3 linked regions of the Tribolium castaneum genome follow. The protein of the gene in region 1 interacts with the protein of each later gene in a biochemical or structural test. Links are inferred from orthologs where the notes say so. Each region holds a gene or a part of one and is shown in the gene's direction. Other genes may lie near its edges.

Evidence for each region.
Region 2: of the proteins of Pink1 (region 1) and park, one has a biochemical effect on the other in vitro, tested with the Homo sapiens proteins (12 studies listed by BioGRID, with this or other methods). The link is inferred for Tribolium castaneum from reciprocal best matches to the Homo sapiens genes PINK1 and PRKN.
Region 3: the proteins of Pink1 (region 1) and BAG family molecular chaperone regulator 2 form a complex in vitro, tested with the Homo sapiens proteins (2 studies listed by BioGRID). The link is inferred for Tribolium castaneum from reciprocal best matches to the Homo sapiens genes PINK1 and BAG2.

What each region holds. Positions count from the first base shown.
Region 1 is NC_087398.1:3,464,647-3,468,844, forward strand, and holds the start of Pink1 (serine/threonine-protein kinase Pink1, mitochondrial), read left to right. Parts: upstream 1-1,249; 5' UTR 1,250-1,435; coding exon 1,436-1,722; intron 1,723-2,229; coding exon 2,230-3,349; intron 3,350-3,402; coding exon 3,403-3,501; intron 3,502-3,553; coding exon 3,554-3,760; 3' UTR 3,761-3,992; coding exon of another isoform or gene 3,993-4,135; 3' UTR 4,136-4,178; coding exon of another isoform or gene 4,179-4,198. Other genes in the region: protein brambleberry, read right to left, coding at 1-388, 439-699; zinc finger protein 346, read right to left, coding at 3,993-4,135, 4,179-4,198. UniProt on the Homo sapiens protein: Serine/threonine-protein kinase which acts as a sensor of mitochondrial damage and protects against mitochondrial dysfunction during cellular stress.
Region 2 is NC_087398.1:11,672,194-11,676,541, reverse strand, and holds the start of park (E3 ubiquitin-protein ligase parkin), read left to right. Parts: upstream 1-1,407; coding exon 1,408-1,668; intron 1,669-1,717; coding exon 1,718-2,083; intron 2,084-4,348. Other genes in the region: alpha-1,3/1,6-mannosyltransferase ALG2, read left to right, coding at 1-873; protein FAM32A, read right to left, coding at 883-1,005, 1,060-1,269. UniProt on the Homo sapiens protein: Functions within a multiprotein E3 ubiquitin ligase complex, catalyzing the covalent attachment of ubiquitin moieties onto substrate proteins. Substrates include SYT11 and VDAC1.
Region 3 is NC_087396.1:11,144,900-11,148,011, reverse strand, and holds BAG family molecular chaperone regulator 2, read left to right. Parts: upstream 1-1,420; 5' UTR 1,421-1,602; coding exon 1,603-1,636; intron 1,637-1,712; coding exon 1,713-1,937; intron 1,938-1,984; coding exon 1,985-2,334; 3' UTR 2,335-2,538; downstream 2,539-3,112. Other genes in the region: hop (tyrosine-protein kinase hopscotch), read left to right, coding at 1-397, 452-621, 667-849, 898-1,033; beta-mannosidase, read right to left, coding at 2,543-2,797, 2,846-3,046. UniProt on the Homo sapiens protein: Co-chaperone for HSP70 and HSC70 chaperone proteins. Acts as a nucleotide-exchange factor (NEF) promoting the release of ADP from the HSP70 and HSC70 proteins thereby triggering client/substrate protein release.

The sequences.
Region 1 (4,198 bases):
TCAAAATCTCGTGACCTTGCGCTAACGAACTGAGCGTTTGTTCAGCAATGTCGTGCAGATCTTGCTGATTTTCCGCGATTTTCCCGAGGGTTTTGAGTTGGTCTCGGGCCGTGTCCATGAGTCTGTTTATGGAGTGTTCTGCCATTCCGCGGAACTGCATTTGTCTGATGGTGTAGCAGACGGCTCTTGCACGGTTACTCATGAGGTGGTAGCTCGTCCACGTGTCCGAGTCCATGCTTCCGGTGCAGTCGCGGATGCTCATGTCATCGGTGCAAGGAAAAATAGGGCGCCCTTCAACGTACGATTGGCAGTTTAGGAGATGTACTGCCATTTTAGCCAGCTGCTCGTCGTTCATCTTATCGCAATCAGAGCGTAGCTTCAGTACCACCTGTTCTAGATAAGTTAGTAAGGGTTGCAAATACAAAAAACCATATTTACTCTTTGCTGGCATGAATCTAGCTCTGATAAAGCTACACCTGTGAGCTTGGCTGCCTCTGATATGAATTTTTCATCGACTGTGGACACTTCGTAGGGAATTCGTTGGACGAATTCACCGACAGAATCACTTTCGGGTTCGGTGAACGTAAAATAACTTCCTATTGTTTTTACATAATCGGTGAAACCTGTCTGAACTTGCCAAGTTTTGAAGAAAAGTAAAATTAACACTAAAATAAAACTAGTACAACTGGGGAACTTCATGGTGAATAAATAATGACTAGGGATTTGGAAAACTTAACGGAAAGTGATTGTATTTGGCGAAATTTAGCTTTTTATCACTGATTTTAAATTCATTGTTGACAGGTGTCAACTGTCAATAATAACCGTTGATTCTTTTTTTTTCCATGTGCTGACATCTAGAACAGATGAAAATAAGGCACTGTGCGACTTTTATTACGCAATTATTTATTTAAAATTACCCCTTCCTAATAACTTAGGCTAAATTTAAAACTAGGACAGTGTATATTTATTTAAACTAAACATTTATAGACCACTATTTTTTCAAACAATCAACGCGCCATCTACGGGCGAGACTTGCAGTTTCATCAAGTATATAATTTTTATGATAAATTACCCTACTTTCCGAAGCATAACACCAATTTGGCTTATTTGAGTAAAGTTTTAATTATCTTAAAGTCATAACTTAAGACGCAAAAAGTTTAAAAATAAATTTTATGCAATTGTGGCGTATCTACGACTTGCGTCGGTTCGTCTCTCTCTTTTTAGCTTATAAAATAGACAAAGACGCTGAGCAGACGCCTGTTGGTGATTGGGCCAGATTTCCCGAGTTTGAAAATAAAGATGGCAGTCGTGCCTCAAGGGGGCGAAATGTCAAAGTGCGGAATTTTTCTCTAAAAATCAAATTTCCCGTGTGTTTTTTGTGTTGATTCTTCTCCGAGTGCCCTGCTGAGGGTGCCGTCCCTCCACGCGGTACAAAATGTCCGTACGCGCCGTCGGCAGCCGCTTATTTAAACATGGTAGAAGTCTTATCCAACAATTCTGTAAAAGAGACCTTAATACCACAATTGGCGACAAAATTAATGCCGTTTCACAAGCAACAGCAGCCCCGTCTTCGTTGCCCAAAACCCAGATACCCAAGAATTTTGCGCTGAGAAATGTGGGGGTCCAGTTGGGGCTGCAGGCGAGGCGGATTCTGATCGATAATGTGCTTAATAGGGTCACCAACAGCCTTTCGGCCGAGCTGAGGAAGAAGGCCACCAGAAGGTAAGGATAACAATATTAAAAAAATCAAAGTTGGCTGTGACAATCAGTGACATTGCATAAACAAAAATGTGAATTTTTGCTTTTTTTTCTTAATTATTAGCAATTTACGAAAGGCAGAGTGTTAATTTAATTGTGATTTATTATCATCATTTAAAAAACCACATTTAAAAGTGGTGCTTTTTTGTGTTTTTATTTAACGCAGGATGGCTTCAAGGCCTTCTTTGATTTTAATTCAGTTTAGGATAATTGCTGGTAATTCATTTGTTTTAATAGTTACGTCGATACATAACATAAAATTCTATTGTTATAACTTAATTACATTTTCAGTAAACACAATTTTGATAAGACTTGTATTAGGAATTTGAGCTTTAATTTTTTATTCAAGCTAATTTTATCTTTGATGCAACAATCAAACGTGCTATGTAATCACGCTTTATTTATACATATGTATAATGCTATATGTGGGCGTGGTCACGGTGGGCGTGTCTGAACTTTTTCATTTTCCAGGATCTTATTCGGCGACTCCGCCCCGTTTTTTGCCCTAGTGGGCGTGAGCATAGCTTCCGGTACCGGAATTTTAACCAAAGAAGAGGAACTTGAAGGTGTGTGTTGGGAAATTCGCGAAGCCATCTCGAAAATCAAATGGCAGTATTACGACATCGACGAAAGCCGATTCGAATCGAACCCGATCACTTTAAACGATCTCTCATTGGGCAAACCGATAGCCAAAGGCACCAATGGCGTGGTTTATTCAGCTAAAGTGAAAGACGACGAAACCGACGACAACAAATACCCATTCGCGCTGAAAATGATGTTCAACTACGACATCCAATCAAATTCTATGGAAATCCTCAAGGCCATGTATCGCGAAACGGTTCCTGCGAGGATGTATTACAGCAACCACGATTTGAACAATTGGGAAATCGAGTTGGCCAATCGGCGGAAACATCTGCCACCGCATCCCAATATCGTTGCCATATTTTCCGTTTTTACTGATTTAATCCAAGAATTGGAGGGTAGTAAGGACTTGTACCCCGCGGCTCTGCCCCCGAGACTCCACCCCGAGGGCGAAGGCCGGAACATGTCGCTGTTCCTCCTTATGAAACGCTACGATTGCAACTTGCAAAGTTTCCTCTCAACAGCTCCATCAACCCGCACATCGCTCCTCCTACTCGCCCAGTTGCTAGAAGGCGTGGCTCATATGACAGCTCACGGCATAGCACACCGCGACCTCAAATCCGATAATTTGTTACTCGACACCAGCGAACCCGAAAGCCCCATTTTAGTCATCAGCGACTTTGGGTGTTGTCTTGCTGATAAAACCAACGGGTTGTCGCTCCCTTACACGAGCTATGAGATGGATAAGGGTGGCAACACTGCATTGATGGCCCCCGAAATTATTTGCCAAAAACCGGGCACTTTCAGCGTCTTGAATTATTCCAAAGCCGACTTGTGGGCCGTAGGAGCCATAGCTTACGAGATTTTCAACTGTCATAACCCATTTTATGGCCCAAGTCGGTTGAAAAACTTTAATTACAAGGAGGGGGATTTACCGAAATTGCCCGACGAGGTGCCAACTGTGATTCAAGCCTTGGTGGCCAATCTCCTGAAGCGCAATCCCAATAAGGTTGGTAATGATTTTTTTGTTTTTCATTAAGGGTAAATTATTTTTCAAAATAGCGTCTCGATCCGGAAGTTGCGGCCAACGTTTGTCAGTTGTTTTTGTGGGCACCTAGCACGTGGCTAAAGCCGGGCTTGAAAGTACCAACAAGTGGCGAGGTGATTGTCTTTTGTTTAGGTAAAATAGCAATCGTCATTCGTTTGTTTTTAGATTTTGCAGTGGTTGTTGAGTTTGACGACGAAGGTTTTGTGCGAGGGCAAAATCAATAATAAGAGTTTTGGGGAGAAATTTACAAGGAATTGGAGGAGGACGTATCCCGAGTATTTGTTGATTTCTAGTTTTTTGTGTAGAGCTAAGTTAGCAAATGTTAGAAATGCGCTTCACTGGATTCAGGAAAATCTTCCCGAACTTGATTAAACTTAAGGCTATTTATTGCGAGGTCGAGGGCTGTTTTAGTTAGACACATGAGACTGCTAGATTGTGATTATGGTTAGTGTTTCTTTCTATAGATTCGGTTTTATAGAAATAAAAACACTTGATTTGTACATTACTGCTATTACTCACTGAAATATATATTTGGGTTTAAGAAAAGTCGTTTCAATCGTTCAACAATTTAATGGTAATAGAAATTTGGTAACAATGAACAAAATTACTGGCAAATCACTTTAAACAACAACAATAAGTTAATAAAAATACAAACGACACAGAAGAGTAAGATCCACAAGCCAGCGGTTCCTGTCGCGTCCGAAATGAAGTTTTCTTTTTTCATCAGCTTGTTCTTGTGTTTGATGCCTGTAACGTCTCTCATCATTTCGAAACTCAACATTTGACTTACTGTTCAAGTGGATGTTTAGC
Region 2 (4,348 bases), about 8.2 Mb from region 1:
TATTGTCACCACCCGGACTTGCTCGCCAGTGCGCCAGGGGGGGCCTTAAAAAATTTCTACAGGAAGCCCATAAACTGGTTGGAGTTAAAGTCCACAGCTCGGGCTGATATCATTCTAGTGAATAGTGAGTACACGGCTTCGGTCTTCCGGGAGACTTTCCCCCAAATCACAAAGACTGTACAAGTGGTGTACCCCACAGTGGCCTCCTCGTTCTTAGAAGCCGTCAAAAACACCAAAAACCCCAGACCAATCCACCAAATAATCCCAGAAATACCCCAAAACGCCGCCTGTGTCTTCCTCTCCATCAACCGCTTCCATCCCGCCAAGAAACTGGACTTGGCCATCAATGCGATGGAAATTTTGCAAAGAATCACCTCGGAAAATGAACGTAAAGGCATTTTCTTGGTTATGGCCGGGGGCTACGACCCCCAATCGTCCATAAACGCCAGTTATTTCACCGACTTGGAGAAACTCGTCGCTGAGAAGGGGCTCCAAGACAAGATTATTTTCCTCAAGTCGCCCCCCGATGACGTCAAGACGGAACTTCTGATGGCGTGTGACTGCCTCGTTTACACGCCCGTGAAGGAGCACTTCGGCATTGTCCCCCTCGAGGCAATGACGGTGGCTAAGCCCGTCATTGCGTGCAACAGTGGGGGCCCCCGAGAGACAGTCGACCACGGAAACACGGGCTATTTATGCGAACCGACCCCCGACAGTTTAGCGCAATTCATGTACAGGATATTCAAGTCGGATAACAAGGCAATGGGGCTCAAGGGGCGCAAAGTGTTGCAGGAGAAATTCTCAAATGAGAGTTTTGCAAGGAATTTGAAGAAAATCCTTGATCACACTAGTGTAAATAAGAAGTTTATTTAAATAAATATTTTACTTAGTCCAAGAGACCTTAGGTATGTCAAAGTGTTCCGTGAGCCCGTCCAAGTGTTGGTTGAATTTTTCTACTCTTTCTTTGTGTGTCATTGACGCTTTTTCCAAGATGCGTTGAGTTTGCTGCAAATTGTAACAATCAGGCAACAAATTTAACACGAAATGTGATTTATTTACCATTTTTTCTTGCTGTTTTAAGAACGCAAGTTCGGCTTTTGTTTTTTGCCTCGCAGGCTTTGATTCCGGTGTCTCACTTTCGACAATTTTGCTCACTTGCTCTAACAACTTCTTATCTTTCTTCTTCTTTTTCTTTTTAATGCTGTTATCACCTTTTAATTGCAATTTTCCCTTGCAAACTTGTGCGTATGGGTCGTCACTTTGCCCCATCTTGTTTGTTTTGACGTTTCTGGAATTTTTCACACAACAACCAACGTAACGGATCGACAATCCCCAAGAATGAGGTTATGAAATTTCCTCACAAAAAATGTTTTTTTCTAAAAATAAGCCCGGCCGCGGTTACCACAGATGATGAGTTTTATTATCAACGTAATTAAAGATTTGTTGCATAAGATGTTACAATTTCTGTCATTTAGTAGAAAAACGCTGAGCAATAATTTGAGTATTTACATAAAAACCAACACAGGGAATACGCTTTCGGTCGATTTGGACCCCACCTGGGACATAAAAGAGGTGAAAGAGTTCGTTGCGCCCCAATTGGGACTGAAACCAGGCGAGGTAAAGATTATTTTCGCTGGAAAAGAGCTGGGAGACAACATTAGTATTTCTGTGAGTTTTGCCCTCAATACCACTAGTCGTAACCAGTTAGTCATTCTAGGAATGTGATTTGGGCCAACAAAGCACCCTCCACGCTATCAAAATCACCAAAAAGCCCAACCCTCCCACTTTAAACAATGCCGTAATTGAGGAAAGTGACGAGGGCAAACCTCTGTGTGAGACCTTATCAGATTTGAGTTTTTCAAACGATGATTACGAGGAAGGGCCCACCGAGCAACGCAAAGTCCACTTTTTTGTCTATTGCCCCACGTGTAAAGCCCTCAAAAATGGGAAATTGCGAGTTCGGTGCCACTTTTGCAAATCGGGGGCTTTCACGGTGCACTCAGACCCCCAAAACTGGAATGATGTGCTGCAGCCAAAGCAGATAACCGGCCTTTGTGAGAATAGCCCCGAATTGTGCGCCAACGTACGTTTTTTAATTATTTAATTGAAATTAGTCAAAAACACTCCACACTAAAAATAGTACTGGACAAAATTTAATTTTCCTTTAAAATGTTTATAGTCAAAATATTTAAAGTTAAAAATATTTACGCTTACTAAGGAGCATTGCGAAAATTTTTAAAATGTTTGCAATCGTAATGTCCGCTCACCTAACTAGAAGCAGCAGATTCATTAACACCATAAGAGCGAGCTAAACCGAAATTCTGGTACAGGGAAATCAATGTTAATTTTAAAAACTAAAAGTCGCTGAAGACAATTAAAAACAATATACGCCAAAATATTTTCAGATACTTTTTTAAATTTCTTTTTCTATCATAAAGTTAAAATTTTCTACAGTTACCAAATTTATTGAATGTAAATCTAAATTTGAAATTTGGGTTACTACTGAGGGTCTCTATAACATTTTTAGAAAATGTGTTCCAGCTATAAATCAGGTATCTAGCCCAGTCAAGTTAGACCAGACAAGAATTGGGCGGTTGGTGGCAAAAATTCCTAGTGAGTTGGAATTTTTTAAACGCGTTCTTTAGATAGACAGATATTAAAAATCCCAGAGGATGGAGGCTGAGCTCGAGATGGGGGAGAGGGTTAAGTGTGTCATTTTTCGTTTTATTTCTTATACCACGGAAACAATCATTGTCGGTTTTCACCTTCTTACAAAAATTAAAGCTGATGAAATTTCCTACAAAAATTGGTCCTATGCACTTTTGTTATAGGACTACCCGTAAGCGAGTTATAGGACTGAAAAGAAATAATTATTTAAAAAAAATCTGCTTCAAAGTAGAATGTCTTGTGACTTGAAAAAATCCAAATTTTACAACTGTTTCAAATTGAAATGATGAAATCTCTAGTATTGTGTAAAAATTGTTATAATAAAAATTTTTTAAACGTCCTTGACTGATTGATTTTAAAAAAATTCACGACGATAAGACCAAGTTCCTTAAAAAGTTTAGTTAAAAGTTAATGTAATAAACATCATCAGGCTTTTTACTCGTTCAAATTCTTGGAAGTAAACATTAAAAGATGGAATTAACAATGACTTAATGACAACAACACATGCACACACCACCGCCTTTTGACACCAGTTGGTGTCTTAAAGTGAACAAGACAGCGTTTTAAAAATGGTGGATGCGCCGGGAGAAATTATCAAATTAAACATTTCCAAATACTACTTTGAATAACTTTAGTCAAAAATGTACAAGTGTACAGAAAATATAAGAAAAACAAGTGTAAAACAATTTACTATTAACAAACTGCAAATTAAAAAAATGGTGGATGCGCCGGAAAAATTAATCAATATTCAAAAAAAATAAAAATAGATGTTTGTTGTTATTTTCTGACAAATGTATACATGTTTAAAATACTTTTTTATCAAACATTAACGCAAGTAGAGCAAACTGACATGAAATAAGGCAGTGGTATTTTGACAATTTATTGAAATAACGTTATGAAACGTAAGTTTTATGGGAATTTTTGAATGTAATCATTTCTGGACAAAGACATGACTCTAGAGGCAAAACGGCTCATTTATCAGCGTTTATCAGCAAAACATTTCTATCTTAGTGACCTCTATAACACCGTAAAGTTTGGCAACATCATTTTGAACGCTGTATAAGGAAGAGAAAATTATGTAAAAATAAGTAAGAATCGCTCCATAATCAAAACGACACACAAGAATAATAGTTTAGATTTTTTATTAGATTACAATATTAATAATAAATTATAAACAAAGACAATTGGATTACCATAACTTTTCAATTCTCCTTTTTTACCTGCTTTTTTTTCTATCTTTGTACCTGTCTTAAATCATTTCTTTTAATTAAGTGTCAATAGAAATTACTAGTAGGTAGCACATAAGTAGGTAAATTTAATTTTTAATTCTTTTAATATTACCTTTTTTGAGATAAAAATGTATTCAACGGGAATCTACTAAAGCGCTACAATAATATTTTGTTTGTGCGTGAGATGCGTACAAAAGCAAAGATAGACAGTTTCGTTTGGTAACAGAAAATACTTGATCGATTTAACGACCTTCGCTAGAAATATTTTAGTTTAGCTTGCTCTTAAAACACAAATTAAGAACGACTATGATGAACACGGTAAAAACGACGTTAAATAAAAATATTTTTTTAACACATGTTTTGAATTCAAATTTGATAAAACCGCTACCTATACCCTGGAAAATCTATTATTTCGAAAATCTATTAAATTAAAATTTTTAATTAATAATTCC
Region 3 (3,112 bases), on another chromosome or scaffold:
GCTTGATAGCATCAATTCGTTACAAAGTATACTTGAGTTGGACCAAGACTGTAGTGTAGTTTTGCAAGGGAGGATTGGGCAAGGGTTTTACGGGGAAGTGTATAAAGGAACTTTGGAATATCCCGGAAATCCTGAAATTGAACCGAGAATCGTGGCAATCAAAAAACTGAAATCGTCAACTGTGTCTGCGTGTTTGCAAGACTTCGAACGGGAAATTAACATTATGAAGACTTTGCAGCACCGGAATATTGTTGAAATTTTGGGGGTTTCCCGGGAACCGGATATTTCCCTAGTCATGGAGTTCGTCCATCATGGCTCTTTGCAGAGTTATTTGAAAATCAATCGAGAGTCGTTGCAAATTAAACAGTTGTTGAAATTCGCGCTTGACATTGCTGAGGTTTGTGGCCTTATTATTTAACCAACTTATCAAATAACATTTTTTATTGACTAGGGAATGAATTATTTGGGCAAGAAAAACATCGTCCATCGGGACTTAGCCACCCGGAATATTTTGGTAGCTGACGAAAACCACGTCAAAATCTCCGACTTTGGCTTAGCGCAAGTCATTGGCACTAATGACTATTACATCTTGAAAACAAACCGGGAATTGCCGATTAAATGGTAATTAGCGAAAAATCACGACTTGAATTACTTTGGTCTTGTTAGGTACGCGCCTGAAAGTTTACGAGACGGCAAGTTTTCCGTGCGTTCCGACGTTTGGTCGTACGGTGTCACAATGTGCGAAATGTTCAACTGGGGCGAAGAGCCGAAATTGTCGAATCTGGGAGAGGAGGAAGTCAGAGGTCAAGAGCAGCAAGTTCTCTTGAACGCCTTGGAGAGCGGGGCCAGGTATTGGTCCGTTGCTGACTTCGTTGGTTTTATCGTTGCCTTTTATAGATTTCCGTGTCCTCCAATGTGCCCACAAGCTGTCTATATACGGATTATATATCCGTGTTGGCACGCGGACCCCCACGAGCGGCCCGCGTTTAGCGTCCTCGTCCAGGAAACGCAAGACCTGCTAACGCAGTATTGAGTGATATTCAGTGCCCATGCAAGGGTGAGCACAGGAAAGAGCACCACTTTGTATAATCTTTTGTATTAAGTTATTCACAAACGCCTATTTAAGATCAAGTGTTAGATTTTAGTTTAAATAAGTACCTGTCGTTTTTATTATTTGCTCAATTTATTTGGAACAAGCACTTCTCGTGCCATTTCTCAGTGCAATCAACTTGTAAATATGTATATTCTATATTTTAAAATAAATGTTAATTTAAGGTTTTTTGCATCATTTCGCTGGACCATTTGTCTCTTTGAACAAATGGCCATTCGGTTTAAAAAAATGCGTTAAAAGCCGCGAATTAATAGCGATAAACATTGAATAATGGTAATGAAAGTACAATTAAGCAGATTTATGGTGTTTTGGGGCGTTTTTTATTGTATTGATTGCGTTTTTCGAGGCGGTTTCGAACTAGTGGGACTAAGGAGTAATGGAACTTTCTAGATTTTGAATCAAATGACCAATGAGTTGTTCCTGTGCTGAATCAAATTGATTTAAAATTATTAGATAAACTGGCGTCAACCAGCAACGATAGCTGCAACAGAATGGACATAGATCCATCTCCGAGTACTTCATCCGGTAATAAATCCTTCTTATCAATATGTTTTTAGGTTATGTCAAAATTTTTGTGTTTGACTAACAGCCCGAGTTTCAGGCTTCTTAATGGATCTGACGTACTCAGGATTGCCAAGGATCGATGAAAACAACACCGTGGATCCCAAATCGCCCAAAGAGCGGGTTTTAGAACTGTTAGATATCTTAGAAAGTCATGTTGAGAAGTTGCGGAGGGAAGCGGCGCAGTTGGAGGAGGACCGGGACCACTTGTTGTCATCCCTGGACTCGGTTAGAAACACTGATTTAATAGTCGACTTACCGGATAGTAAGTATACCAAAAGTAAAAGTCGTTCGTAATTAATTATTTGTAAGATGATAGGGATGATGTTTGCCAGTACGCTGAGCGCATCATGAGCCGCTGCCTCACGGTGGAAGTGAAGATTTTAACTCAGCGTGATAAGATGCAAGAAGAAGCCTTGCACCAAGTGAATCATTTGATAGACAGTCTTGTAATGTGTGTGAAATCGGATCCTGAAAGTGCAAAAGCTAGATGTATAACCTTCATGAATGCTTGTTCTTCGAATGTGGTGCACGGGATCACGGATAAAAAGTTCGAATCGGCTTTGTTAGGATGTACCGTTGACGACCAAAAACGGGTAAAGAAACGGCTTCAAGGTTTGTTAAATTACTTTGATAAACTTAATGTAACTTCGATTCCATAAACTTACTTAATAGTGCGTTGTTATTGATTGTGGCCCGCTTATTGCCATTATATACACATTAAATCGTTAGTATTTAACCAATTGAGTTGTCTTCATTACGGCTTTAATACAACACAGTCGTGTTAACTTAAAATAGCCACTGTGATTGTTTAAAAGACACTTTATTTATAATTGATGAATTAAATAAAATTATTAATTCATGTATTACTTATTTCCGTGAAATAAAATACTTAGGGTCTCTTAGATGAGTCACTGTAAGCGCTTGTTTCAAATCTTCGCTTGTTGTTGGTGAATCTGCTATAAAAGTGACTGTTGTAACAAGAGAGTGTTGAATAAAACCGTTTTCAAGAAAGTGGCCTTTAATATCGTGCGGGTCCAACCAAACGAAAAGACTAGGGGCGTCGGCTTTCACCCACACGTGGAAGCGCAAGCCTTTCGCGTCAATCATATCAACTGAAATAATCTAAAACAAAGCTAAAGCTCTTATCGGTTAATCCCCCGGAAAAATTACCTCAACATTGGAGTTTTTAAGTTTAGCTTCCTTAAATTTTGAAGGGAAAAAGTAATTAGACGGGGTCAAAACTGTGCCGTCTTTCCCACCAACAATATGCACAAAGCAGTTGTATTTTGCTACATCTGCAGCGCCACACCCGGAATCGGACAAAAATTGGTCCACATCGTATGATGCAACTAGTCTTGCCACCAAAGGCTCCTTCAAAATGCATTAATCACGACGTTTTCTCAATTTTAAAATTTCTCTCAAGGTCCGATTGGTTCG